4 linked regions of the Canis lupus familiaris genome follow. The protein of the gene in region 1 interacts with the protein of each later gene in a pairwise test. Links are inferred from orthologs where the notes say so. Each region holds a gene or a part of one and is shown in the gene's direction. Other genes may lie near its edges. The genes, in order: MYO5B, AMOTL2, BNIP2 and RAB25.

Region 1 (7,179 bases):
TCAAAGGAGGGAAAGACCATATCTGGTTGTGAGATTAGAAATTCACAAAGCCCTGGCCAGGAGTAGGATTCTCCTCAGGGAGGTGATTCAATTCAGTCAGCATGAATTGAGCTTTTAATCTGTGCCAGGGAGGATGGAAGCTAGAAAGTTGGAGGCAGTTGGGGGTGGGGAGGAAAGATGCAAACAAATTAGTTTCAGGTTAATGCTAGGTCCTAATGGGATGGCCAGTGTTGTCATTCTGGCAGGTGGAAAGATGCGTCTGTAGTAAGGTTAGAACTAGATTTGGGGCACCTGGGTGGCTCAGCAGTTGAGCGTCTGCCTTTGGCCCAAGGCATGACCTTGGGGTCCTGGGATCGAGTCCCTCATTGGGCTCCCTGCAAGGAGCCTGCTTCTGTCCTCTGCCTGTATCTCTCATGAATAGAAATAAAAAAATTAGATTTGAGAGTTACCAGTGTGGTGAGAGGTATAATGGGGGGGGAGGGTGGCGTGAAGAGAAGAGATTTGGGAAATGAGCCCAAATTTTGGACCATAGTTTGGAGAACTAGCAAGCAGGGTTAGAAAAGGATGTCATGAAGGTGTGGTTAGAAAGGCTGGGAAAACAAGAGGAGAAAAAATGAGAGATTTTAAGAAGGAGATGGTTTAACCTGAGAAAGGAGAGTCATGTACTGCCCCATGTTTTTTTTTTATTACAATGAGACTATTTTAGTAATATTTAATAAATATAATGTATTTTAAGGCAAAATAAACAGAAACCATCCAAGTATAATGTCAAGTGTTGCACAACATTATTTAGAAGGAGCCATCAGACAGATAATAATTACGCTATCCTATGTCTCTTGATATTTCCCTGAGAGCCCACGGTCGTCAGGAACCATGATGCTCAAATCGTACAGTCTCCAGGCTTTTTTTTTTAAATTTATTTTTTATTGGTGTTCAATTTACCAACATACAGAATAACATGCCCCATGCTTTAGAGGGAGAAGGCAATCTCAATAGGATAGGAGTGAGTGGAACCATTTAGGAAGGAACTAATGCAGCAATTCTTAACCTTGGCTGTCATTAGAACTACCTGGGAGCTCTTAAAAATCCTTTTACCCAGGCAGGAACCCCAGAAAGTTAAATCAGAATTTCTGGGAGTGGGCGCCAGGCATCATTTGTTTTTGCAAAGGTGTAGAAAGTGTTGAGAACCCGTAATTATGTTGGACTGGGTTTAAGCAGAGCCAGCTGGGACAAGCGCCTACCTTAAGAAATGTAGCAGGAAAGGAGAACAAAGCTGCTAGTAGAGACCAGCCCACTGATGGAGCATGATGGTGAGGCATAAAAGGTCCAGAGCAGAGGTGGGGAAGGAGCTTTATTTAGCAAAGGGGTTTCTTAACCCCAAAGGGGGAGAATCCCTTAGAAAGGTGTGAAAACTGAGTGCTGGCTCCACCCCCAGGCTTTCAGATTCAGTAAGTCTGACCCCTGACAATTTATAGCTCTGACCCAGCTAATGCCAATAGCCTGGGGGGGGGGGTGTCACACTTGGAGATCTTCTTGAACACAGGGAAGGAAACTATGCTGACAGATTTCTGAGTGAGAGATAAGTGGTGGAGCCATTTCTTCCCTGCTTCTGTCTGGGATGTGAAGAAATCCAAGGAGGGTTCTCCAAGCTTTGATCACCGCACTTGTCAACCTTGGAAGTACAATCTTCTAGGATTATGGGGGAGCTTGAAAACTCCCTCTGTTCGCCAGACATACGTCCTGAAGGTGGGGTTCTTTGGCGGGATCTGGTAAAGTTCCCTAGGAGAGTCTCCTTGAGGAGGCACAGCTGTGAGGGCCTGACAGGCCAATTAAGCAGGGGTCCTGATTCCAGCTGGAAGGGCTTACCTGGGAAGAGTTTCAGAAGCATGTGGCTCCAGAACAATTTCTGCATCGACCGGATGCGCGCTCCAGCTGAGAAGCACCCGCAGGCTGTTCCTCATTCAGGTACAGACGCCTCCTTCAGACCCACCCAGGGCCGTTCTGCCCCGGCGCTACCTGCGTTTCCTCCGTCAACTCCCGCCGGCTACTTTCGTTTTTGGGTCAGGTTTCTTTTTTGCTGTAGGTAGAAGAGGGACTGAAGCTGCTGCAGGCAGCCACAGGCCATTGGGAAGGGGACCGAAAGGAGGTAGAAAATGGCAAGGGGATGGAGAGCGTGCACACGAGAGAGAAGGAGACGCGAATGACCATCTTCTGATGGGGGGGGAGGGCGGGTAGGAGTCTAGTTGGACGTCGAGGGTCAAACAGGCAAAAATAGGGAGGGAAGCTACGAATCCCACTTGCCCAGTCAGGACGTCCGCCAGGGAGTCGGTGTGGCGGAGACCCCGTGGGCATAGCCAGGTCACCTGTTACAACATCCCGTGACAGCGGAGTGTTAACCCTGAGACTGTTGAGCGCAGCCACGTGAAGTCCAGAGAATAACGTGCGGAGGCTTTCGGCCGGACTTCTATCCCCTACTTCCCCTCCTCCTCCCCTCGCCCTGCTGCTACCTGGGCTCTTTCCCGTCTCCACTGCCCACCTCCGCCCCCTCCGGCCCCAGCCCGCGATCGCCCGGAGGAGCCGGCGGAGCCTGCGGAGCGCGGCAGGTGCCTCCCCGGCGCGCACCTGTACCCGGCGGCCAGCAGGGGGCGGTCTGCCCCGGCTCCTCGCCCGGCCCCGCCCCCGGCCCCGCGGACCCCGCTGCAGCGGGGGCGCGGGAGGGCGCGTCCGGCCCGGCCCCGCAGGGCTCAAAGGCGGCGGCCGCAGCGCACCGGCTGCCCGCTCCGCGCGCGGTGCTCGGCCCTGCCTCCCGGCGCCCGCACCTCCTCCCCCACCTCCTCCCCCACCTGAGCGGGGAGCGCCCCCGCCCGCCAGTCCTGCCCGGCCGCCGCCGCGGGAGTAAAGGTCGCGCCGGCCGGGAGCGAGCCGGCGGGGCAGGGCGTGGGGGAGGCGGCCACACGCCGGGAAAGTGTCGGCCGCCCGGGAAGATGGCGCCAGGCGGGCTGGCCGCGGACTGAGCCTGCGGGCGGAGAGGAGTCGGGACCCGCAGCCCGGCAGGGGCGCGAGCGAGGGCCGCACGCAGACTCGCTGCCCGGGCTCGGGCCGGCGCGCGGGGCCATGGCGGTGGGCGAGCTGTACAGCCAGGTGAGTGCGCGCCGCGCGCCAGGTGAGGGCGGGGACCAGCGCGGCGCGCCCCGGCCCCCGGCCCCCCCCCGCGGCCCTCGGGGCGCCCCCTCCTGCGGTTCCGGGAGGCGGGGGGCGCCTGGCAGCCTCCCGCTCGCTCCCCCCCGGCGCCCAGAACTTCGGGAGGAGGAGGAGGAAGTTTGGCCGCTCCGGGAGCGTCCTGCGCCGGCCGACCGGCCGCGGCTCCCCGCGGCGCTGCCCCCCGCCTGGCTCTGCTGAGTTCCCCGGTCCCGGACTGGGGTCCCCGGCGGCGCGGAGCCGGGCCGCGGACACAGCCCCACTGCCGCCCCCCGACCCCGCCCCCCGCCCCGGACCCTGCTCTGCAGCGGCCGCTCGCGAGGGCGCGCCCCCAGGCTCCCTTCGCTCCCGCGCGCCGGCGGGGGCAGCACGAACTTCGGGGACGCTCGCACACTTGGGGGCGGGGGGAGAAGGGGACCGACCGGCTGTTAGGGACTTGATGGGGCGGGGGGGGGGGGAGATGAGCAACAGGTGAGGTGGGAAGTGCTCCGAGGACCTGCGGAGACCCCGGGGAAGCGCATTCTTAGTTGGCTGGGGGTGGGCGGCTGAAGGCGGCCCCTCGGCGTGGGTGCCAGCAAGGGCAGGGGCGGAGTGCGGACTTCTGGGTGCCAGGGTCAGCCGGGCTCTGCAGGGCTCGGCCCCACGGTCGGGAACAGGTGCGCCTGGCTGGAGACGTCCTGCTTCCGCGGCGGTTGTTTCAAGTTAGGGGCCAGCCGCCGCCTCCCGGAGCGCCCACGGCTGAGCCGCGGGGGGCCGCGCCTTTAAGCACGCGCCCTTCCCCCGGTCAGGAAGTTCGGGAGACCTGCCCGCCCGGTCTGTTTCCGGACCGCGCCCCGAGGGACCGCGCCCCGAGCGTCGGTGCGCGTGCGGGGCGGGTGCGGGGCGCGGGGTCCGCGCGCGGCCCGCGGGTCTGGGCGGGGGCGGGGCTGGCTCCGCCTCTCACCTGGCGGCTGCGCGCGTGGGGAGCTCCGCAGCGGGGTGGGCCGCTCGCCCCGCGGGGCGGACTTTCTCCCGGCTCCTGCGGAAGAGCGAGCTGAGCCGGGATGACGCGGAGGCTGTGGCCTGGCTGGGGATGGGGTAGCTACAGCCTCGGCGCCCGCGTCCTGGCCCCGGTTGCGGAGGGGCCGCAGCTTCTGGAAAGGAGGGAGGAGGGAGCCAGGAGCGGGGAAGGGGGCGGGGTGGGCGGGGTTGGCGAGCGGCTCCGGGAGTCGGGCTTTGAAAAGCGCCCCGCCCGCTTCAGCCTGTGGGTCTTGGCAGCGGCCCCCAGGACTCGGGCTCTTCACCGGCGGTAGCAGGTTGTCAGGCCCTCGGACCGGAGCCTGGTTCCGGCGAGGCCGGGGGTGGGGCGGGGGGTGGGGCAGGGGGCTCGGGGGACCTGACCTGGGCTTGGATGGTAGAGCCTCGCAGTTCTGTTCAACCCCGGGCTGCACCGGGCCCCGGCGACCGTGCCTGCGATGCGGCGAGGCCTTTCATCAGATAACTGCTGTACTACGGGAAGCTGATAGTCAATCGGATAAATCTGCAACTCTTGAAGCCTTGATCTTGAAAAACATTGGATTGCTTTTAAAGACCATACTTTCGGGCAGCCCGGGTGGCTTAGCGCCGCCTTCCGCCCGGGGCGTGACCCTGGAGACCCGGGATGAGTCCCACGTCGGGCTCCCTGCATGGGGCCTGCTTCTCCCTCTGCCTGTGTCTCTGGCGTGCGCTCTCGCTCTCCCTTTCTCTCTCTCTCTCTTTCTTATGAATAAAAAAATCTTTAAAGACCACGCTTTCAGGGGAAAACACTTGATGTTCTTGTTGGAAACGAGTATGTTGCCAGTTATAAATGAGCGTATGGTATGTTAACTGTTAGAAATGAATCCTAGTGGGGATCCCTGGGTGGCGCAGCGGCTTGGCGCCTGCCTTTGGCCCAGGGCGCGATCCTGGAGACCCGGGATTGAATCCCACTTCGGGCTCCCGGTGCATGGAGCCTGCTTCTCCCTCTGCCCACCCCCCACCTCTCTCTGTGTGACTATCATAAACAAAAACAAACAAAAAAGGAATCCTACTGGAAGTCTGCGCCCAAGTTCGGGGGTAACTTTCTGGGCTTTTACTAAGGATATAGCTACCCTAAGAAAAATGTCTCAAGGACACATGAGTCACCTAACGTGGTTTCGTGGGTGTGAGGGTTTGACACCACTCAAAGTATTAGAACGTGTTCCTAGGGCTGGGGGACTTCACCTGTCCATGTTGGTGGGTTTCTAGTCCTTAATCACTGTATGTTTATGAATCTGAAATTGAGACTTTTTGTGACCCAGCCAGTAGCTTCCAGATTGAATTTTGAGCAATTGTTCTTGTCAGAGTTAAACATGCTTTGCTATGAGAAGCAGTTGTATTGTTTTCCAACCATTATCACCCTACTTGCTAGGCTGGATTCTCTGTATGCATATGAATAATAAAGTACATAGAGAAATTGTGCCTGCTGCTCAGATTCATTTTCTTAGGGGGATGATTTGTTCATCTTGGCATATTAAAGCAACCAATGTTCCCCCTTTTAACCTGCTAGGCCGGTCTATCATGGTGACTGCTGGACCCAGGCACGCACTGTCATGTATTATGCATGATAGAAATAATTATCCATTATGTCAACAGCATTTATAAGTGGGGTGGAACTATTAAAGCCTTTTAGAACTATACCTGTTGCTTTAGTGATCTAGTAGGGAGGTATGATTGGAAGGAGACCTTCAAGCGCATAAATTAACCTGAAGGTACAGTTTCAGGTAAGAACTTAGTATATTAGCCTAATCCTATTTATCCAAGACAAGACTCCCTTTCTTTCCCTCCCAGGTTACTGTTTTCTTGTTTGCCTATCTGCACACTCCAACTGGAGGCTCCATGCTATGTGAATTATTATTTTTGGAGTCCTTAGTCCTTGACAAAAGTCACATCCCATTACCTAAGAACACACCTGTGTTCAGAAGACCCAACCCATCACCTTTGAGAAGTGGCTTTCTCTGTAGCGAGTCTTTTCTGGATGGGGGAAAAAAAAAAGTCCATGCCAAGACACTTTGAGGGTGATGTCAAGGTGAGTCAGCTTCAACTCCTAAAGAAAGCTGGAGCTGATGATGGGGGATCATGTCACAAGTGGCATGTATGTAGCAAGTATTCATACTGTCTTTTCCTGTGGGTTGGAAACATGGGCTCATTGGATTTGTCCAGGTCCCAGGCGTGTACAAGCATGGGAAGTACAATTGGATCTTGATATTGCAGGAAATAGTCTATTTTTCATCCAGAATAACCCTTCTATGAACCTTGTTGTTTTGGACCAGTCTTTCAGGATGCTGTCTTGACTTTTAGTCAGGTTGACTGGGAAATCACCAGATAAACCAGTACCTTCCAATAACCCCTTCTCTGGTTGGCCTTTCATAAGTGGTGTCTGAGCAGTTTGAGTGCTGCTAGTTCACTGGTGGATCCAGCCTATGCGTGTAAATGGTGGCTTTGTCTTGGTCTTTCCCTGTGCAGCTGGTAGTGCGGGTTTGTGCCAGGTGTCAGCCTGTAGGCAGCAGGAGCCTCCTGCCTCTACCCACCCTGCTTCACTGGAGGCACTAATGATTCAGACTCCTGTTGGTGCCCCAGTGATATTTCAAAAAAGTGACGGTCGAGACCTGAGTGGTAGCAGATGCTGGTAGTGCTCCTCTGCAGGCCCTTGACTCTTCTCCTGAACTCGTGCTGGTGCTTGCTCACTCTGGATGGCACGTGTTTCTCAGGTTCCTGGAGCCTGGGAATGCACCCCCCCTCCCTGCCCCAGGATGGACCTGTAATCCATGGGAGTAGAACAGCTGTAGTTTCCAGACCCTGACCTTGGGAACAGGACTGCCCACAGAGCTGTGCAGGAGGAGCTGAAGTTCCTCTGCTTGAATTTTGCTGAATATCACAACCCAGCTTGCCTCCTTTCACCTCCCCGCTTCCTTTCACCTCCCCACCTCCCCACCTCCCCACCTC
Region 2 (6,651 bases), on another chromosome or scaffold:
AGCTTCTCCTTTGATCCCTTATTATTTGCCAAACCCGATGCATTTTTGTCCTTCCTGTTCACCTTGCAGAGTGACCGTCAAGGTCATCCCGTGACAGAGAGGGCCCAGCATGGTAAAGGTGGTAGAGGGTGGTGAGTTACCCGTGCCAAGCCTAGGGCTCAGGCATGCTACATTCTAGAGGGAGCTAGGGGCTGTCTGCCTAGGGCTTCTACTAGGCTGGACTCCTTCTTTATCACCTGCCAATGAACTGGGGCCCTGTCTACCCCTAGACTGGCCTGCTCAGTGGTTGTAGCTGAACTACTCCTGCCCTGGAGTCTCTCCTCAGCCTTTTCACTGGGAAGCTGACTGCAGAGGCTGGGTGATGGATTACCTTGGAGGTTACTGGTGGCTTTCTTTAGTAAGTCTCCGTGAATATGACTGTAACGGTGGCCCTCTGCCAAGGATTTACAGTGCACCAGCACTCAGCAGCCATCGCCTTATTTAATTTTCACCTCCATGAGGCAAGCGTTATTCCGATGGAATAACTGAGGCTCACGGGTTAGGTCATTTGCCTTAATCAGTAGGTGGCAGCACTGGCAATTGAACCCAGGCTTGTGTGACCTCCCCCCCCCCCGCCCCCATAGCCTTACTCTTCACCATTATGCTTTGGACCACACTGTAACGGAAAGCACCCCCTGCCCTCTTTCCCCTGTGCTCCCACTAATTGCTCTTCTTTCCCTCCTCCCAGGTGCCCTGGGGCCAGGTGCCACCGGCCATTGTCCAGGCAGCTGTGTACAAGGCAAGGAAGCATGAGGACGCTAGAAGACTCCTCCGGGACGGTCCTGCACCGCCTCATCCAGGAGCAGCTGCGCTATGGCAACCTGACGGAGACTCGCACGCTGCTGGCCATCCAACAGCAGGCCCTGCGGGGTGGGGCTGGGGCTGGGGGCACAGGGAGCCCCCAAGCCTCTGCAGAGATCTTGGCACCTGAGGACACTCAGGTGCTGCAGCAAGCCACCAGGCAGGAACCCCAGGGCCAGGAGCACCAGGGCGGTGAGAGCCACCTGGCAGAGAACACCCTCTACCGGCTGTGTCCACAGCCCGGCAAGGGTGAGGAGCTGCCCACCTACGAAGAGGCTAAAGCCCACTCCCAGTACTATGCGGCTCAGCAGGCGGGGCCCCGGCCACATGTGGGGGACCGGGATCCCCGAGGGGCCCCAGGAGGCCATCGGAGCCAGGATGAGGCCCTGCGAGAGCTGAGGCACGGGCATGTGCGCTCCCTGAGTGAACGGCTCCTGCAGCTGTCCCTGGAGAGGAACGGGGCCCGGGCCCCCAGCCACATGAGCTCCTCCCACAGCTTCCCGCAGCTGGCCCGCAATCAGCAGGGCCCCGCACCCAGGGGCCCACCTGCCGAGGGCCCAGAGCCCCGCGGACCGCCGCCTCAGTACCCACACGTTGTGCTAGCTCACGAGACCGCCACTGCTGTCACCGACCCGCGGTACCGCACCCGCGGGAGCCCACACTTCCAGCATGCTGAAGTCAGGTAACTGCCCGCCCTGCTCTTTCAAGCTCTTGACTTTCCTTCTGGTATCGTTCTCCCCTGGGGTGGAGAGCCTGCAGACACCCTGTGTCGGGGCTGGCAGGCCCCAGAGGAAGGCTGTTGAGACCCCCTCCCTGTCCCGAGAGGGAGGGGCTCAGGCCTGATGTAGAGGAGGACTTAGCCAGGGTCACGTGAGAACTTAGTGGGACCTTTTGCTTTAATTTGGAGATGGATGCCATTGTGTGCTTAGCTGTAGCAGTCAAGTAACTAGGGTTCCCGGGGGTACCGCTTACAGCAGGGGGTTAAAGGTTAGGTTTTCGAAAGAACTTGCTAAAGACAAGGGTTGGGAATCCTTGCCAAACGGTTTCCAAGCTGAGTTGGCAGGACATGGGACCTCCTTCTCTGGAGACCTTTAAGACCAACGGGACAGTCTGCCTTCTGTGATGAGTGGGAGGCATTCCTAACTGGAGGCAGGAAGGACCAGATGGCCTCCTCCGAGACCTCTCCCTGGCCTACACCAGGGCAGGAGCCACCCTCCTACTACTCTGCGTTTCCTTTCACGTTTTCCCTGTGCTCCAGGTGGCTGGAGCTCCTAGCAGGAGAGGACTTGGGGTCCTGGCAAGCCCCTTTCTGTGGAGCCTTGGAAAGGGCTGCTGGGGAATGTGGACTTTGAACCTGAATGTGAAGGGAAGCCTTTAGAGGATGGGATTTGGCTCACCTCTTTAAAAAGGTCCCCCCGGGAAGCACGTAGAGAGAATGGATTCTAAGGGCAAAGGGTGCAAGGAGGGGACAGAAACCCCGGATAGTTTGCAGAAATACTGGTTCCTAGAAATGAGGCTCTGCCCCTGGCTTCTCACTCGGCCCGGCCCCTTCCGAGAAGCAGGGACACCGATCATTTCACACACCGCACCTCCCCCCGGGCTGGCCCAGGAAACCCCACCAGAGGGGCCTGCGGAGTTGCAGACTCCTTTCCTTGGAAGCTCAAGGCCGAAGTCTGGTCCTCTTCATGCTTGCTGAGTCTTCATTTAGTCACCCGCTTTCCCACCATTTGGCCTTTTCCTGGGATAGATGCCTTTCCTTGCTCTCGAGAAATGAGTGACGCCATGGTGTTGGCATGGGGGAACCAGAGGACGGGGCCTTGTGGGTTTTCTCCATCCTCCACCGCTCGTGCCCCCCACCTTATCTCCTCTCTCAGGGCTTGGTCAGGGAGAGTTTCGGAAGCTGAGTCGCGGGTTTCTTCTTTTGGAGCAGCCTTATTGAACCCTGTCAGGAAAAGATAATATCGTGGAAAGGAAGTAGACCACAGGAGAACAAAACAGGGAGGGCGGGGGAGGAGCAGGACAGGGAAGGGAGAGCAAGTGTGAAAGGAAAGGAGACTCTATTCTTTCTCAGAGCTAAGTCATCCCCCAAGAATGCCAGTTGTGTCTGCCTGGCCCGGTGCAGGGGGGAGAAAGTTCGTGAAGCAACCCTGAGAATGCCACATTTAGCAGTGCACCGAGAGCTTGCACATTCCAGTGGGGACCCTCTGCTCAGCCCTCACTGGAAGCTCTGCCTTAGGCAATAAGACAAATAGATCTGCCCAGCCTTTCCTTTCAGCTGGTCACACAAGGATTGTTCATTGGGAACTTGGGGCGAGACTTTTCTTTTAGCCCAGGGTCCTAAGGGGAGCAGGGGAGAGGAGGCTGTGAGGGGGATGGAGGGCCTGAATGCTGAGGTGATGGACCTACAAGTGGAATTCAACTCTCATGAAGCTTCTGGAAAGCTCCTGGCGTAACTGAGGCAGTTTGTTCTTTCACACTTGGAGTCACAAGACCCCGGAAAGGCCGTGTGACCAGCCTTGACACCCATGCCTCTTGCTCTTTGCTCCTTCCCTTAATGGGGCTGAGGGTGACATTACAGCACTGCTAGAGGCCAGTGGAACATTGTCCCTCCACTCAGGCTATTGCAGTGGTCCAGAGGTGGCCCCTACACCTAAGAAAATCCAGTGTGTGGGCCACGTTTACTCTTTAAGCAGACAGTATGTTGCAGTTACCACTAGGAGAGGTAGAAGATGGACCACCATTGTGGGAGCACGCGCTGTAGGCCCAGCATCCCATCAGGCCCTGTGTAGGCCTGGCCAGCCCCTCGAGGCTGGAAACACTCATCCTCATGATTTAGCAGAGCCTGCACCATGGGGATTTGAATTCCTATTTTGTCAGACTTTGGAGCTCAGACCCTTATGCCAATATCTATCTACACTCTGCCCTGAGCCACGGGGATTCACAAAAATGTTTCTGCAACGGGTGACGAGACCCAAAATAGGGAGTAGAAAATGTGAGTGTGCTACACTGGCAAATACTAGCAGAAGAGGCTTATAACAGACGCAGGAAGTGGCCCAGAGTCCTGGAAGGCTGTGTACAAGGTCCAGGACTACTCAGGCTGATCCCCAAGGCCTTGGCCACAGTGAGGCTGGACATGAAACAAGCATCCTGATGTTAACCCCCACTAGCCCCACTCCCTTGGCCCTTCAGGGTCTCGGATAGAGCCTTCCCCACTGGACACTGCCTCCTGTTGTGTGGAGACTTGCCAGTATGCCAGGAGGGCTGGGCCCACCCAAGGCTGCTCAGGGGTGGGAGCCACAAGGGCCTGCATAGTCTCTGAGCACCATCTCTTCTGTTCCCCAGGATCCTGCAGGCCCAAGTGCCCCCTGTGTTTCTCCAGCAGCAACAGCAGTACCAGTACTTACAGCAGCCCCAGGAGCACCCCCTGCCACCACACCCAGCTGTTCTTAGCCATGGCCCCCTAGGCGCCCTCAGCCCACCTGAGGTGGAGGGGCCGGCTAGCACCCAGACCTCCTCGGCCCCCTCTGGCAGTGCCCACCTGGCCCAGATGGAGACTCTGCTGAGGGAGAATGCCAGGCTTCAGAGGGACAATGAGAGGCTGCAGAGGGAGCTGGAGAGCTCAGCGGAGAAGGCTGGCCGCATCGAGAAGGTAGGCCCTGCTGGGGCCTCAGAGGGCGGGGGCCTGCTCTCTACCCCCATATCCTTTCTCCTCCCTCCCTCACTGACTCTAGACAGCTGGGGAGCAGCCTCAAGGCCAGCAGAGCAGGCCTGGAGTGTGAGCAGTTGCTGGCCAGTGGTGATTAGAAAGAGCCCATTCACCAGCTCGCTGCACACCCTTCCCCTGCACACACCCCCTCCTGTGGACACCTCCCACAGAGAGCCCTTTGTGTCCCGCACACAACAGCAAGTCTGTTCTGGGCCAGCCCTGGCCAGAAAGAAAGCCCCTCCTCTTGGAAAAAACGAGCTACTTATTGGAATCACAGGCCAGCTCGGAGCACGTGCGGAACCTGCCAGCAGCCAAGTGGGAGGGGCAGCTGGGGCCAGGCTGGCCCTCTGCGGTACACGGGGATGGCCAGAGGAGGAAACGCTCCAGAGAGGAGGCAGCTCAGCCCAGGGGCCAGCACCCTGTTCTTTAGAGGAGGTTTGCCAGCTGTGCGTTCAGTTCTGACAGGTGGCCTCGGGCCTCCTATGGCTGTCCTGTGGTTTGAGCTCTTCTGGCCCCTAGAACGTGGCTGGAGTCTTTTTGTGCCCACTCCTGGCCCACAGTGCTCAGATTCTCAGTAGAAACTGGACAAAAGTAAAATGCTGCTTTCTGGACATTGGGTGCGGGAAAGCTATGCTTGGTCAGTCAGAGGCAGCCCCTTCCAGGGTACCTGGCCCTGGGTTCACTCAGCACTGGGGCCCTGGCACAATTGAGGGGACCCCTGCTTGCTGGTTCTAGCATCTGATTCAAATCTGGAGGCCACAAGCTTCTGACCGTCCCACTCTAACCACTTGGATTTTTTGCTGTTGCCTTTTATCCTGTCCTCTCTCATCCTTTCTGATGGAGAGTCAGAGAGCAGCCTGGGCCTGTGGAGGGGACCCTGAGGCCACACAGGGATCTCTCCCCTTCCTTCAGCTCTCCTGTCTGCTTCTTGCAGCTGGAAGGTGAAATCCAGCGGCTCTCTGAGGCCCACGAGAGCCTAATGAGAGCCTCTTCCAAGCGGGAGGCCCTGGAAAAGACCATGAGGAACAAAATGGATAGTGAAATGAGGAGGCTGCAGGACTTCAACAGGGATCTGAGAGGTGAGAGAGGTCGCCCGAGGTGAGGGGGTGGTGAGCACCTGCGGAAGGCTTGAAAAGAGAAGTTGTGTAAATTGACTCAAAGGGGGCCAGGCTGAAACTCCTTGGGGGCCGCCTTGACAGGGGGCATGCTTGTCTCTGTGCTACCCCTTGGGGCCACCCATGGGACCTCCTCACCTTTGTGGCCCAGAGTGCTCCCTCCTCCTTAGGCCCTGAGCACACCCAGGGCTTCCCTATCAGCCCATCCCCGGTTTAGACGGTGCAACCCCACAGGCGGGCACCTGATACTCAAATATTTTTTCTTAAAACATTTTTCCTTCATTTAAACAGAGAGATTGGAATCTGCGAACCGCCGCTTGGCAAGCAAGACACAGGAGGCCCAGGCAGGCAGTCAGGACATGGTGGCCAAGCTGCTTGCTCAGAGTGAGTAGGGCTCACGCTCAGATGCCCATACAGTTATGTGGGTGGTGACACTGGGACGGTGACTTTGGACGTGGAGGATCGGCCCTCCGGCCTGTCAAAGCAGTGCTTCGAGCCCGGGATTACTGAATGCCTACTATGCACTGGACTGTCCTGCTGGGAGGGGTGGCTTCCAAGGAACAAGATCTGGTTCTCTCTTATTGGCGAGGTCAGTGGCTACAAGAGGGACAGCCGGGGCGCAGTGATTTGCTGAGCTGTGGTGCTGTTTCAGTACCGTCTCCTTCGGAGCTAGAGGGGCAGTGGGCAGTGGCGGAGTCCAGATAGCCCTGGAGGCAAGTGGGAGCAGAGAGAAGGAATATTGAGTTCTCTCAGGGAGTCCTAGGCAGCAGAAAGGTTAGGGGTGCCTGATTGGAATGTGAGAAACTGGGGTGCCTGATTGGAATGTGAGAAACTGAGCCATAACCGGTGGCCAGGTACCCGCAGACAACCAAAACTGGATTCCTGGAGCTTAACCAGCAGTCTGAAGAAGGAGTTTGGGGAACTCCTCTTACACGGGTGGTGGAAGTCTTCTGAAAGAGAGTGGGTGAATTCACTGTTGACTAGTCTAGT
Region 3 (7,279 bases), on another chromosome or scaffold:
GTTGAATGTATTTCATTCAATGTATTACACATCCTCTCTCATCTTCAACAAACACGGCTCACTCCAGATCTGAGCTCTTTCTCTCACATGACTTCAACCATAACCTATTTCCCTGAATGAGATGAATACTTAAAGTCCCATGGACTAAAATTCTCTGGCAAATTAGCCTAGTTTTCCTCTTGAATGGCCATAATCTAATTTTGCATATGGAAATATTTCTTAAAAATGTGTGCTGCTGCTTCCGTCTCTGTGCTCTGTGAAATGTGGAAGCATCTTGTAACAGTGATGTGTAATATATGTGTGCAATCCAATTTGATTTTTTGAAATAGGGAAGCACAAATTCTCTCTGGAATAATTTCTTTTACTGGTTCATTGTCGACAAGAAACTTGTCACCATGCTAAAGATAAAACTGCTGCTGGGTTTAGTTTAGAATTTTATAAAGTGAATAAGTGAAAAATATATATACATACATTTCAGACTCAAGTTATGAATAATTAAATGAATATATAATTGTATCCAGTTTTACCCTCAAGCTCAACTAGCAAAGACATTCAGCCCATGTAAAAAGGATATTTCACATTTTTTTCAAAAACTATGAGTGAGCTGCCCAACATCACTGAATTTATTTGCTCGTAAGCCAGAAGAACAATCTGTCTATAAAATTATACAGTGGGGAGTGCAGCATTATTCAAGAGTTTTATTTAATATACATTCTGCCTTCTAAAATTTGAATTTACACAAGCATTTTCTTAGTGTTGTCTGGTATACCTTCTTCATCATCTCTCATCCTATCTCTCGGATCCAAGGAGGCAGTAGAGATGAGGAAATAAAGACTCAACACTCTCTATTTTGGCTAAGTGCTTTTGTTTTGATGTATGAAGTATGGCAAAGTAATGTGAATGAATTAATACACATACTAAAATATATACTCAAAAGAGGGGTGCCTCTTTCAAAGTGGTTCTCTCAGAACTTATACTAATAATGCTGTTATTGTGAGGAACATAATAATTGGTTGCTTTTCCATGTTGTTCATCATATTGGCTCTGAATAAACCCTTAGCACTAAAAAAAAAAGCTCCCCCTTTTATCTGGCTCCAGTCATGAAGAAAAAGGGGCAGTTTCTTGAAGTCTCTGCACATTTGCATAAGCCATTCCCTCAGTTTGGAAGATCCTCCTTTTATTACTAAGCTCGAGATGACCCCCTTCCGAAAGTCTTCCTTGACTGGCCCCAACTCCCACCCCTCCCCCGCCATCTGTTTAGCTCCTATTTAGCTGCACTTTGGAAGTACCAACGTCACCTCAATTCACCAAATTGTTTTGCTCCATTTCTTTGCAGGCTCCATGCCGGGAGCCCGACACGGGACTCAATCCCAGGACTCCAGGATTGCGCCCTGGGCCAAAGGCAGGTGTCAAACCGCTGAGCCACCCAGGGATCCCTAGATGATATGTTCTAAAGCCACACTTTTTTTCTTCTAAATTATTTTCCAATTTTAATATTCCAAGTATCTGCCTATTCAAGGAGACACATAGATTATAACCTGAGCCCAAGACAGATGCTCAACCGCTGAGCCACCCAGGCATCCCGAAAACTGTGTTTTTATTATACTTTTTTCAGGCTAACAATTTGACCCATGGCTTACAGGCATTTCACCTAAAAGCTGAAAAAATATATATTGAGCATATTATTTGAAAATATACCTAGTGTGTTGTTTGAAAAATCAGTTAGTCTTATGTCTTGAACTTTTTTGGACATTCTATAAAGTGTGGTTTTCAACCATTAAAAAAATGGAGCAACTAAATTTGTTCAATAAAGAATTGTTAATACAAATTTATCCATAATAAAAATGATGGCATTGAGGAGTTCAGTATGTATTTTTATTTTTTATATTTTATTTAATTTTATCTTGTCTTATTTTATTTATTTTAAGTAGGCTCCCCAGCATACAGCCCAATGCAGGACTTGAATTCATGACCCTGAGATCAAGACCTGACTACTAGGTACTTATTTCATTTTTATAGAAACATATGTGCTATTTATATAGTTATATATATACAAAAATCTGAAAGGATATACCTAAATGTATACCTTCTCTATAGTTTCCAATGTTTCAACAATAAGTATAGCTAATTCATGAGATGAGGATAAGAAGATAAATTGTAGAATGGACTATTCAAAACCAAAGCAAACACCGACCAAACTAACTGAACAATCAAGTCATAGAAATGAAAAAGAAAGATGGCAAAAAAAAAAAAAAAAAAACAAAAAAAAAACAAAAAACCCAACCCCACATAACTGTATATAATTTCAAATGACTTGCTGCCACCTTGTGAGGAATGCTCCTCATTGCAGGACTGAAAAAAGCAAAATAGGAAACTACGGGGGGGGAAAAAAAATCTGAAACTTAAGATAAAATCGCTGACGTAAGCACGATCCAAGAAATTGTTCAGCTAAGGCTCTGCTTATCAGCTGATCCGTCTTGTTTGCTCCGCCAGCTAACTTCACAAAACTGCTTGGAGGAAAATATTATCAAACACGTATATGATGATAGTATGTCGTCGTATGTCTAATAAACAGCACTTTATCTCACAAAAGCCCTAGGAAGTAGGTATTATTTTTCCCTGTTTTCAGAGATGAGACAGAACGGGTGCATGTTGCCAAAACCCCGTAAACCTGGGAGCCGCATTTCGGGTCAGTGATGGACATTTTTCGGTCGCCCCCAAGCTCCCTCTTCCCATTCCCAAATGCACCGTCCCATCGGCGGACGCCTGCGCCCTCGTGGGGACTTGGCGGATGCGGATCTGAGGCCCCTCTGCACACCTGCGCCGCTGCGCCAGGTGCGATGGGTCCGCAGAGCTGGGCCCTTCCGCCACCTGTGCACGGCCGGACGGGAACAGAAACAGCGTCTGGAAGGCGTGACGGTGATCTTACAGCACCTTTATGGCGATTCTTCCTCCCCTACTTTCACCCATTCTATGCTATAAAATTATTCTAAGGATCAATAAAGCCCACAGAAGGGATGTAGAAACGTCCCTTTGAGAGTCGAGGACCGGGTCTCAGCGGGAGGAGAGGAGGCGCGGCCAGCCCGGGCGGAATGCGCATGCGTCAGTCCGCGCGGCCGAGGGGGCGGGGCAAGGGCCAAAGACGCCCCGCCTCCGTCTCCGCCGGCCCCCGCGCCCGAAGGAGGTCGGGATTCCGTCACTTCCGCCCCGGCGGCTGTCTGCGTCCGGGTCAGCTGCTGTCGCTGCGGCTGTAGCCAGGGCACTGGGCCCGGGTCTCCGCTGCAGTCCGAGGGGAGCGGGCTCCTCTCGGCGCTCCCTCCTGCGCCCTGGCCGTCAGCCCCACGTCGCCGGCCTGGAGGGGCGAGGAAGACGAGGGGGCCAAGGCTTCCTCCGGGGTGAGTGCGGCCCGGGAAGGCTGGGCACGGCGGGGCTGGGCTGAGAGCAGGCCTGCGGCGGACGTCTGAGGGGTGCGTGCCCCCCGGACAGCCCGAGAGGGGAGGCGCGGAGGGCTGCGGATGGAGGGGGCCGCCGGGGAGCTTGCCCGGGACGCGCTTCCCGGATCCCCGCCCAGCTTAGGCCCCCGCCCTTGGCTCGGCTCCTGTTTGCCTTAGCTAGGCTTACCCGCCACCCGGCCACCCCTTTTCCGTTTGTGCTGTTGTGTTCGGGGCGGGACTTGCCCCCCCTCCCCCGCTGGGCCCCCCTGCACACCCCCTGGTCTGGGTGCGGTGACCGGGCCGCTTCGGTCGCGTATTTAAGACCAGCGTCAGTCCCGGTGCAGAACAAAGAAACTCGGACGTCTGCTGTGCCCAGTACCCTCGGGGAATAGACGCGGAAGCGGCCCTTGGTAATGAGGGCTTTAGAGGGCCTTCCTACGTATAAAAGCCCAGTTCCTGCGTGGATTCAGACATCAGCTTTTGCTTAATGGTTTGCGTTTCCTGGGCGTCTCTCATGCAGCTGGAAATCTCCTAGATCAACTCCAGTTAAATCAGGAATCTGTTCGGATCTGTTAACGTTGCTTTGAAACTTCCCTCGTCTGCCAGTTGGCGGGAGCCCTCGGAGAGCACAGCTTTTGCCCAGTTCCTCCTGGTTGACATAGTGCCTGCCTTAGAGTTTAGTTGAGTGAAGTGTGTGATTGCACTTTACAGTTGCCTTTTTTTTTCCCCCTCCTCCTCACCTTTTTAAATTAGGATCTCTATTTATCTTAGTGCCTAGTTACGTTTTCAGCGAAACATATTCCTTCTCTAAAATTTTATAAGAATTTCTGCAACTTGTAAATGGATAACTTCAGTTACCCCGTTTAGTTAGCTTGTATACTATCATCTTGATGATCTTTGGACACCTTTTACTTAGTTCTCGTCATTTTACATTTCTTCTAGACTATTCTTATTTTCATAATCTCCTCTATTGCCGCCTCACATTGTTGGGCTAATACAGGAAGTATGACAGGTCCACTTCTGCAAACATGGATCTTGAGCTAGGTGGTCATTAGTCAGTGCTGTTGTAGTCTTTAAGCATTAGAGGACCTTTGAAGTTAAATGTAACCAAGTCTGGCATTACAGGCTTATGCTGTATAAAGTTGCCAGTGAACTGGAGACAGTGTGCTGTATTAGAAACAGGCTGCATTTAATCTGGGACCCAAAATGTAGGGTCATTTGCCTCATATGTAAACTAAAACGGGGATAAATAACACCCATATTTCGTACCTCACAAAAGTTGTTGATTGGAACATACCAGATGATGAATGTACAAGTGGTTAGTAAATGCCAAAAGGAAAGTGGTTCTTTTCTTTGCCTTTGGAGTAACGCCAGTAGGAGCTGTGATGGAGGAAGGCATCTAAAACAAGGAAGGCCAGACAGAGCTGGCAGAGGGAGAAGCAGGCTCCCTGCGGGGAGCCTGATGCAGGACTCGATCCTGGGACTCTGGGATCACACCCTGAGCCCAAGGCTAATGCTCAACCACTGAGCTACCCAGGCGCCCCTGTAATACAGTATTATTAACTATAATCAACACGACACGCTATACATTACATCCTTAGGATTTATTTTATAACTGGAAGTTTGACCCCCTTCACCCATTCCTCCAACCCCTCTTCCGTCTGGCATCCACCAGTCTGTTCTTTACATCTTTGAACTTGGTGTGTGTGTGTGTGTGTGTGTGTGTGTGTGTTTTAAGATTCCACAAGTAAGTGAGACCTTATAGTATTTGTCTTTCTCTAACTTACTTTACATAGCATAATGCCCCCAAGGTCTATCCATGTTGTCCCAACTGGCAAGATTTCATTCTTTTTATGGTTGAATAATATTCCATTGTATATGGATACCACAGTTTTTTTTTTAAGATTTTATTTATTTATTCATGAGAGACACAGAGAGAGAGAGAGAGAGAGAGAGAGAGGCAGAGAGGCAGAGGGAAAAGCAGGCTCCATGCAGGGAGCCCGATGTGGGACTCGATCCCGGGTCTCCAGGATCAGGCCCTGGGCTGAAGGTGGTGCTAAACCACTGAACCACCCGGGCTGCCCTGTATACCACAATTTTTTAATCTATTCATTTATCGGTGGAAACAGGTTGCCTCCATATCTTGGCGATTGTAAATAATGCTGCTATGAACATGGGGCTGCATATACCTTATTGAGATAATGATTTTGTTTCCTTCAGATAAATACCCAAAATTGCTGGATCAAATGGTAGTTCCTTTTAATTTTTCGGGGAACCTCCATACTGTTTTCCATAGTGGCTTTACCAACTTACATGCCTATCAACAGTGCACAGGGACTCCTTTTTCTGCACATCCTTGCCAACACTTGCTATTTCTTGTCTATTCAAGAACGGCCATTCTGACAGGTGTAAGGTGACATCTCACTGTCATTTCGGTCTTAGAAACTTGTATGACCCTGCTTTCAAGGAAGCAGTGACAAGCGTATAAGATTTTTCTGGAGGTGTTTTGGTGATCTTTGTAAACATAAATATAGACTGGTCTAAAGTATTTTCCAGTAACACTACCAGTGCTGCCAGCCTCCTAGGGAAAAGTGAACACAAATACTTAGAATGAAGCCCTTCTGTTTAAATGCAGAAGTAAAAGACTTGCCTGGACATTTCCTTCTGCCAACTATAATTGATTTCAGCATAGATGGTAGTTACTAGCACCTATTCTAGCAGCACTGTTAAACTACATAATAGTAAAGTGGCATGTAAGATTATAATTTATAATTCAGACAGTTGTAAATGTGATTTTAATATTTAATTTTTGCTTATATTGCTGAGTTTATAGGGAAATCCCCTTCTTTATCTTGGTTGAATTTACTGCCACACCTCCCTTCCAGAAGTTGTCTCAGGAGGTAATCCATTCTCCTTGATTTTTAACCTCACTGATGTCAGCCGGTGTTTTGAATTTATCTGTATGCCTTCTGCTGGTAACTGGCATAAGCAATCATGTGCTCCCGGTACCACCAGTATGTTGAGAAATCTAGTTATTCTTGTTGCATTTGGTTATTTTAACAAATAGCATCTTAAAGTGTAATTTCCTCCATTCTAATTTACCAAATCTATGAACAAAAAATGGGAAACAGCCACAGTTAACTTGTGAGTCAGTGGTGTCCTGATTTCCTTCAAAGTGGTTGTGCTTATATTGCTCCTTTCTTGTTTGTTTCCTGTTCTTACAGCTGCTGATGATTAAGTGCTTCCAAGAACAATACTCTCTCAGTTGTTTGAACTTTTTGTCTACCTAGTGTACTTTTCTCTCTACAATTTATGGTGAAATAGGCAAGATTGAGTCTGTCTGCTGTCTCCTGCTGGTTCTGTTTAGCTTAAATAATTATCCCCAAACTAAATATCCATGTCCATGTGCTGTATTAACATGACATGCTTCAATATGATTTTGAAATAAAAATTGAATGAATTGGCTGAAACACTTGAGTTATTTTCAAGTGATAAACTTCTTCAAGTAGTAGGGGAGCTAAAAGACATCATTTGTCTTATAGAATTTCACAAGTTACATATTTCTCTTAGAAATAAGGAATAAGGGCAGCCCCGGTGGCGCAGCGGTTTAGCACCACCTGCAGCTCAGGGTGTGATCCTGGAGACCCGGGTTGGAGTCCCATATCAGGTTCCCTGCATGGAGCCTGCTTCTCCCTCTGCCTGTGTCTCTGCCTCTCTCTCTCTCTCTCTCTCTCTGTGTCTCTATGAATAAATAAATAAAGTCTTTAAAAAAAAAAAGAAATAAGGAATAATTTTACCAACAGAAATTGATAATTGCATGTATGTGGGTTGCCCTAAATATTTTC
Region 4 (7,299 bases), about 37 Mb from region 1:
CGAGGGGAAGAATATTTCGAATGTTTCCCAGAACAGCAAGTGCAAAGGCCCTGTGGTGGAATGACGTCTGCTTGAGGATCGGCAAGGTTGATGTAGCTGGAACAGCATGGGAATATGGGAAGGTGAGGCCAGAGAGGCAGAGAGTACAGTACCTGGTTCCCCGCACACAGCAGAGGCCTAATGAAAGTTAGCTGAAACAAACTGAAAAGGTCCAAGAGCGAACTCTTCCCCCAAGGATTTCTACTGTAACTGGGCTGCCAACCTCATCCTCCCCCCACACCTGACCAGAGACGCCATTTCATTTCAGTTGATGACTCGTATTTGGTGCCTAACCTAGAGTTGGTGCTATAGGGCAATAGCTTTCCAAGGCCTTGTCCACATCACAGCCATAAGAAACACCTTTTCAGTCAGAGCCCATGCCCCCCAGCTAAGACAAAAGTTTCACAAAATAGTACTTCCCTTATAACATGTGATACACTCTTTCCCGTCTTTTCAATGCTGATCCATCTCCTTAATTGATTGAACCCAAGAGTCAGATCTACAATTTGAGAAACTTTACCATGGGAAAGAGAACTATCCATTAGGCTATTTGCTCCCACACCCCTTACAGTGTCTTTGGGGTTAACCCATAATAATAACATCACCCATTTGGACAGCCCTTTGCAGTTGTGAAACTCTCTCCTGTGTACTAGCACCCTCATCAACTGGGAAGAGGTAGGGATCACAGAAAGAGAAACCAAGTGTCCGGGGGATTGAGTGTTCCAGGGGAAAGCTGGTTAGTTAGACGCTGTGCTGATGCTGGAGTCTGAGCTCAGGACCCCACGTCCAGGGCTGTGGCCAGAGCCCCTCCTCTGAAGTTCCTGCCATGCCCAGGGCATGGAAGGAAGAAGGTAGTCTCTCTGAAGAGGACCTCTTGGGGAAAGAGGGCTAAGGGTGCCAAGCAGGACATCATATCCCACAATGTCACCCCCACCAGGAGGGCCGCGTTGCCATCACCCGGGTGGCCAACCTTCTGCTGTGTATGTACGCCAAGGAGACAGTGGGCTTCGGAATGCTCAAGGCCAAGGTGCGTAGGTGCCCGATCCTCGACAACCGTGGGCCTAGCCTTTGTGCTGTTGGCTGCCCGCTCCCACCTCACCACAGTCCTGGAGTCCTCTCATGACCGTCACTGGCTGTGGACTGACCCTAGGAGTGGGTGGGAGCGGGGTGCTCAGCCAGGAGTGGGTCTGCATTGGGGGTCCCTCTAGTGGCAGGCCGCGTACGGTCCTGATTTCTCTTCCCCTCTTGCAGGCCCAGGCCCTGGTGCAATACCTGGAGGAGCCTCTTACCCAAGTAGCAGCATCGTAATGATCCTTGTTTGAAGCTGGGGTCAAAAAGATAAATGAACATTTACAGGGGCAGGGCCCCCTTGGGAACCTTTCTGGGTTGGGGGGTACTTTGTTTTTTCCAAGAATAAACTGTAACTCCTATCTTATGTGGTGACTGCTCTTTTTTAAAAATAGACTTATTTTACTTACTTACTTTTTTTTTTAAGATTTCATTTATTCATGAGAGACACAGGTTGAAGGAGAAGCAGGCTCCTTGTGGGGAGCCCAATGCAAGACTCGATCCCAGGACCCTGAATTCACAACCTGAGCCAAAGGCGGACACTCAAACACTGAGCTGCCCAGGCGTCCCTATTTTACTTACTTCTTCTTCTTTTTTTTTTTTTTTTTTTTTTTAAAGATTTTATTTATTTATTCATGAGAGACACACACACGGAGAGAGAGGCTGAGACACAGGCAGAGGGAGAAGCAGGCTCCACGCAAGGAGCCTGATGTGGGACTTGATCCTGGGTCCCCAGGATCACACCCTGGGCTGCAGGCGGCGCTAAACCGCTGCGCCACCGGGGCTGCCCTTCTTCTTCTTTTTTTTTAAAGATTTTATTTATTTATTCATGAAACACACAGATAGAGAGGCAGAGACACACAGACAGAGGAGAAGCAGGCCCCACTCAGGAAGCCCGATGTGGAACTCAATCCCGGGTCCCCAGGATCATGCCCTGGGCCAAAGGCAGGCGCCTAACCGCTGAGCCACCCAGGGATCCCCTATTTTACTTACTTCTTAAAAAGAGTTTATATATTGGAGGGAGAGAGAGAGAGAGAGAGCGCGTGCGAGCAGAGGAAAGGGCAGAGGGAAGAGGGAGAAGCAGACTCCCCCACTGAGCAGGGAACCTGATGCAGGGCACTATCCCAAGACCCAAGTCGTGACCTGAGCTGAAGGCAGACTGAGCCACCCAGGAGCCCCTGATGACTATCTTCTTGAACGGGAGGAGCCCAGGGAGGTGGCAGGGAGCAAGGGTTGCTCAGGAGAGTCCTGAAGGCCCACCTCTTCCCTTGCCCTCTGATGGCCACGTCATTTCAGTGGTAGTGCCTCAGCGCCCTCGGCCTCTCAGCTATAGGAGCATCTGGGCCCTGCCACTGTGAGCAAGTGTTTGCCCACCTGAATGGCACACCTTTGGGAGTGATTGCAGAGGAGCTGGGACCGGTGGGGGACTGGTTGGGGGTTGTATTGGGCAGAGAAAAAGGGCCCTGCAAGTCTAGTGACCTTCAGCCCCAACCTGGGGAGATGCCTTTTCTGCTCTTGTGGGTGAGAGTGTGCACAGCTGTCTAGAGGGGCCACCCCCACTCACATAGACCCTCCAATCTTGAAGCCCTTTGCAGTCAATATGGCTCTGGAGACCTGGATGTTGGGGAGGGAGTATTAGGAGGCGTCCATCTCCAGATCCTGGCCTACACTCAGACTCCTCACCCCAACTGTCCATTTTTGCTCCAGGTTCCCCCTCCCCGGCATCCTTAGAGCAGGTCTGGACAGGGAGCTAGCAGCCCCTAGCCCAGTACCATAGGAAGGGACCCATCCCAGGGGAGAGGTGGGTTTCGAGTTTCTCCTCCACCCAGGGTGAGGAACACTGCCCATCCCAGGCCCTGGGCTGTAGGGAGGGGCAGAACCATGACGTGGTTCCCAGAATTCTGCACTGTAGCAAGGGGATTGGCACCTGTCAGCCTCAGCCCCTCGCCCCAGCAGCCCTTCCCCTGGTGCCCCCAGTCACCCCCCCACCAGAGGCTCTGAAGGAAAAACAGGAGGCCAAGCAGGTTTCTGCTCCCTGACAGGCTGTTTCTCACTGGTGGCTGCTCAGGTAGGTCCCTGGTCCCAGGAGCCCTAGCACCATGCAGTTAGTCCAGAGCTGGCTCTCTGAAGGTCCTCCTGGGCCTGTCCCAGCTCCCCCCACCCCCGCTGTCATCCTTTCTGCCCCCCCTCCCTGTCCCAGCCCGCCAGGCCACCGTGGGAGCACCGGCTGAGAGCAGACACCCAACCTGCCTAACCTGTCTGACGTCATCCTCTCTCCACCCACCTGGGCCCCAGGTCTCTGCTGCCTGCTCTTCCTGTTCTCAGCTTCCGTTCTCTTGGCTTCCTTGCAGCACCCCCACCTGCCAGAGCTGAGCCTCCCAGGCCCTGCCTAGCCTCTAGTCGGCCCTCAAGCCCACAGACAGCCTGCGGAGGTTTCTTTACCCCCAATGAGTGGAGCAGCAGATCCGGGTCTCTGGAGAGCTGAGGGTTGAGGGCATTGAGACGTGTCTCCCCTGCCTCCGAAGCCACTTATACCCTCCATGCAGAGCCAGGATGGGGAACAGAACCGAGGAAGATTATAACTTTGTCTTCAAGGGTGAGTTGGGGTCTGTAAAGAGAGAGACTGACTGAGTCAGAGTGCCCCTCCTCTTTTTACCTGGTACCAGGACCCTCTCAGGGCTCCTCACTCCTTTGGAGTAGAAAGGAAGCTGCAGGGAGTGGGGGAGGGTCTGGTTACTGGGGCAAAAGTCCTGGAGCTGCTGCTTCGAATGCTTTGCTTCTGCAGATAATGCTGTTGATCAGTCCTGGGTGGGGCCAAGTTAGGCTCCTCTGCTCCATTCGCAAAGGAAGCCATGTCCCTAGGAACTGTTAACCACTGCAGCACAAGAGATTGAGGTCAGACTTCAGAGAGGACTTCCCTCCTGAGAAGAGGGGGCATAGCCTTGAAAGGAAGAAAGTCTTGTTTCTCAGTGGACATGCAGGAAAGAAGAGAAAGGAGAGCTCTGTCCCTTTTGCAGTGAGGACAGGGAAGATAGCTTAGATGGAGCACAGGATCTAATAGAACTTGGAGGACTCCGAAGATTAGGGCCTTGTCTGCTGTCCCTTGGCAGCCTCTTTGGGCCCAGATATTGGGCGCAGGGTCAACTTGACTGACACTGGAAGTATGCATGCATCTCTCCTGCTCCTTTCCCTCGGCCCTGCGTTGGACCCCAGTAGACCCCAGCCCCCAAGCACCCCCACCTCCACAGCTCCTTCTGGGTGGGGTGGACTGGCAGAGCTGTGAGTCCCCGTCCAGCCACCCCACCCCGCTGCCTCTCCTGGCCTAAGCCCCACCCTCACTGGGGCTAGAACTCAAGCCACTCCGGTTGGGGCACCTGTGCTCAGCCCTCCCTCCCAGGAAGGGGAAACTGGGGCTGTGCTGCTACTGGTGACTGCCCTTTCCTGAGTCATTAGTCACCAGAACAACCCCAAAGTGTATCTCTCGCTTTGCAAGCATTGTGGTCAGGAGCCAGACTCCCCGCTCCCATCCCAGCTCTGTCCACTATTAGTCGTGCAGGTTGGGGTCTCCAGAAGCAGACACTAAGTTTGGAACATAAGGAGTCTCATCTGGCTCAGCACCAGTGAAAGGAAGGGAGAGGAAATGGGGAGAAACCAAACTGCTGCACAGGGTCACAGAGCCTCAGCCAAGGGCAGTGCTGGAAGCAGGCCACCCTGAGAGGGACGGTCTCTGCCGAGGCAGCTCTGTGCACCAGGGCAGGGGCAGAGGGAGCTGGCGGCTAGAGTCTGGCTGCTGGTGGTGCTCCCGTGGCCACAGGCTCCACCTTCCTCAGCACAGATAGGGGCAGCACACTCTGTCTGAGGCCGGCTGCTACTCCCCCAAGTGCCTGCTTTTCCTCGGCTGTAAAAATGGGATGACCGTGACCGTGGTACGTGCCTCGTGGTGCTGTGCTGGGGGTTAAATGAGTCAGTTCGTGTAAGGCTTTCAGGATGGTGCCTGCACATAGTAGGTACTCAATCAACACCTACTGTCTCCCTTTTACTGACAGCAAGTGGCTGACAAATGGTCACTAAAAGTCAGTACTCAAACCCAAGTCTTAGCATATTTTGGGCCTGATGGCAGGGCTAGAAGCCCACCCACTGGCAGAGGTGAGGTGGGATGAAGTTCCCAGCGCGGGGAGGCAGGATGCACACCCACACCCACCTGCTCTCCATTCATTCCTGCCCTGCACAAGTTCCAGGGGGCTTTATAGATTTTACAAACAAGGAAACTGGAACCTTGAAAAGCTGAGCCACATGTTCAAGGTCACCAGCTAGTGAGAGACTGAGTGGGGACCAGAGCCTAGAACATGTGGCTCCCAGGGCACCAGCCTACTTTTCCAGAACCACCCTGGGAGTTGTCCTGTCATCCTGGACGTTCACTCAGCGTCATACAGCTTATTGGTTGTACTTGCATCAGCCCCCATTGCCCTGCTGCAGCCCCCAGCTCACCCGTGGTGAGGACAGCTGGGCCCTGGACGTTGCCCACCAGCCCAGAAGCTCTTTGAGTGCCCCTCTGGTGGATCCGGGTCCCTGGAAACCTGACAATGAAAGCACCAGCCTGCCCAGAGCAATCTTGATGGTGACAGTCTTCTACACTCACTACAGCCGGGGCAGTATCTCATTTACTTCTCAACAATCCGTGAAATAGTGTTGTTACTGCCATTTTTCATACGAAAAAGAATGTCAGGATAGGCCTGTCCGACACCCATCCCGTGTTCTTAACTGTGTGCCTCCTTGGGGACAACTGTATCCTAACTTCTTGCACACCCCCAGTGCTTCCCTCCCTCCCACGATGTGTCACCTGCCAAACGTGCTTCCCCCCCACGTTTGTGTTGGCACAGTGGCTTCCAGCACACGTGCCGAACCTTGAGGTCCTCCCAGCTCGCCACAAGCAGGCACAACAATGTCACACTGCCTAGTTGGGAAACGTGTGCCCTCCCCAGACCTCCTACATCCCTGTCCACTTCCATGCGCCCTGCCAACTTCATAGCCCCTGAATACTGGCACCCCACCACCGGAAATGCAGACTGACTGTAGCCACATCCCCACAGACCAGACCAAGAACCCTTCTAGGCCTGCAGCCCAAACTCTTGGCCCTTCACCTGGGAGGTCTGGAAATTTCTGGCTGGCTCCCCCCTCAGTTTCCTGGGCTCAGCTCCCTTTCCTGATGGGCAGACTCCGAGCTCAGCCCTGTGTCTCCACTCTTGCAGTGGTGCTGATCGGCGAGTCAGGCGTGGGGAAGACCAACCTGCTGTCCCGGTTCACACGCAACGAGTTCAGCCACGACAGCCGTACCACCATTGGGGTCGAGTTCTCTACCCGCACGGTCATGCTGGGCACGGCCGCCATTAAGGCTCAGATCTGGGACACAGCTGGCCTGGAGCGGTACCGAGCCATCACCTCCGCGTGAGCCTGGAGCCAGGGGGCGCTGGGGGGGATTAGGGGGTGTCCCTGGAGGAGAGGCCATGGGGCCATGGTCTCCCTGAGGGGATCCCAGGGCTCCATGGCCCCTGTGAGCCCCAGGTGCTGTAAACCACACAGGCTGAGGCAAGACCCAGTGATACCAACTGCTAGGGTGGAAAGCAGCAGCTGCTGGACCACTTCTTGAGCCTCTGCTACATGTCCTAGGAGGCACGAGGCACCTTCTAAGTGCCACGGGACCAAGATGCTGTAATTAATCCCTGCTTAATACAAAAACCTGGGGCTCAAGCAGTTGAAGTCAGGGAGGATTGTGGATAGGGTAGGTTGTGGGACCAAGAGGGCCCTCACTTCTGCTTTGTGCTCAGCATCCTTTGCCATTTCCCCATGAACCTGGTGGGGGCTGGACCCCTCAGCAGCATCTTACAAACACTCAGAGGGGACAGAGGACTTTCTGCCTCCTGATGGCCATGCAGAACAATTCCCAGGGAGCGTCAGGCCATGTGTGAGGATGGTGGTCTATGTGTGTGATTGGGGACAGCACCTGCTGAGGAACAGCAAGCAGGAGCCCAAGGCTTCAGTCAAACACACACTCATGGCTCCCAGACTGGTCACCAAGCGCTTCTGAGCCTCAGCTGACATGTTGCTAAAATGGGAAGAATGAGTTATCACAATGTGAAGGAGCCCCAAGTACCTCCGGGAGTGAGACTGGATGCTTGCAGGGACGTCTCAGAT

What was found.
Region 2: the proteins of MYO5B (region 1) and AMOTL2 interact in binary tests that used the Homo sapiens proteins (3 or more experiments, as listed by UniProt). The two-hybrid records come from large-scale screens. The link is inferred for Canis lupus familiaris from reciprocal best matches to the Homo sapiens genes MYO5B and AMOTL2.
Region 3: the proteins of MYO5B (region 1) and BNIP2 interact in binary tests that used the Homo sapiens proteins (3 or more experiments, as listed by UniProt). The two-hybrid records come from large-scale screens. The link is inferred for Canis lupus familiaris from reciprocal best matches to the Homo sapiens genes MYO5B and BNIP2.
Region 4: the proteins of MYO5B (region 1) and RAB25 interact in binary tests that used the Homo sapiens proteins (3 or more experiments, as listed by UniProt). The link is inferred for Canis lupus familiaris from reciprocal best matches to the Homo sapiens genes MYO5B and RAB25.

Annotation. Positions count from the first base shown.
Region 1 is NC_049228.1:78,760,899-78,768,077, forward strand, and holds the start of MYO5B (unconventional myosin-Vb), read left to right. Parts: upstream 1-2,877; 5' UTR 2,878-3,114; coding exon 3,115-3,141; intron 3,142-4,141; exon of another isoform or gene 4,142-4,358; intron 4,359-7,179. UniProt on the Homo sapiens protein: May be involved in vesicular trafficking via its association with the CART complex. The CART complex is necessary for efficient transferrin receptor recycling but not for EGFR degradation.
Region 2 is NC_049244.1:31,675,662-31,682,312, reverse strand, and holds part of AMOTL2 (angiomotin-like protein 2), read left to right. Parts: intron 1-727; 5' UTR 728-788; coding exon 789-1,522; intron 1,523-4,182; coding exon 4,183-4,489; intron 4,490-5,480; coding exon 5,481-5,625; intron 5,626-5,952; coding exon 5,953-6,045; intron 6,046-6,651. UniProt on the Homo sapiens protein: Regulates the translocation of phosphorylated SRC to peripheral cell-matrix adhesion sites. Required for proper architecture of actin filaments.
Region 3 is NC_049251.1:24,906,751-24,914,029, reverse strand, and holds the start of BNIP2 (BCL2/adenovirus E1B 19 kDa protein-interacting protein 2), read left to right. Parts: upstream 1-3,196; 5' UTR 3,197-3,395; intron 3,396-7,279.
Region 4 is NC_049228.1:41,740,180-41,747,478, reverse strand, and holds the start of RAB25 (ras-related protein Rab-25), read left to right. Parts: upstream 1-3,401; 5' UTR 3,402-3,660; coding exon 3,661-3,703; intron 3,704-6,356; coding exon 6,357-6,552; intron 6,553-7,299. Other genes in the region: ragulator complex protein LAMTOR2, read left to right, coding at 977-1,066, 1,291-1,361. UniProt on the Homo sapiens protein: The small GTPases Rab are key regulators of intracellular membrane trafficking, from the formation of transport vesicles to their fusion with membranes.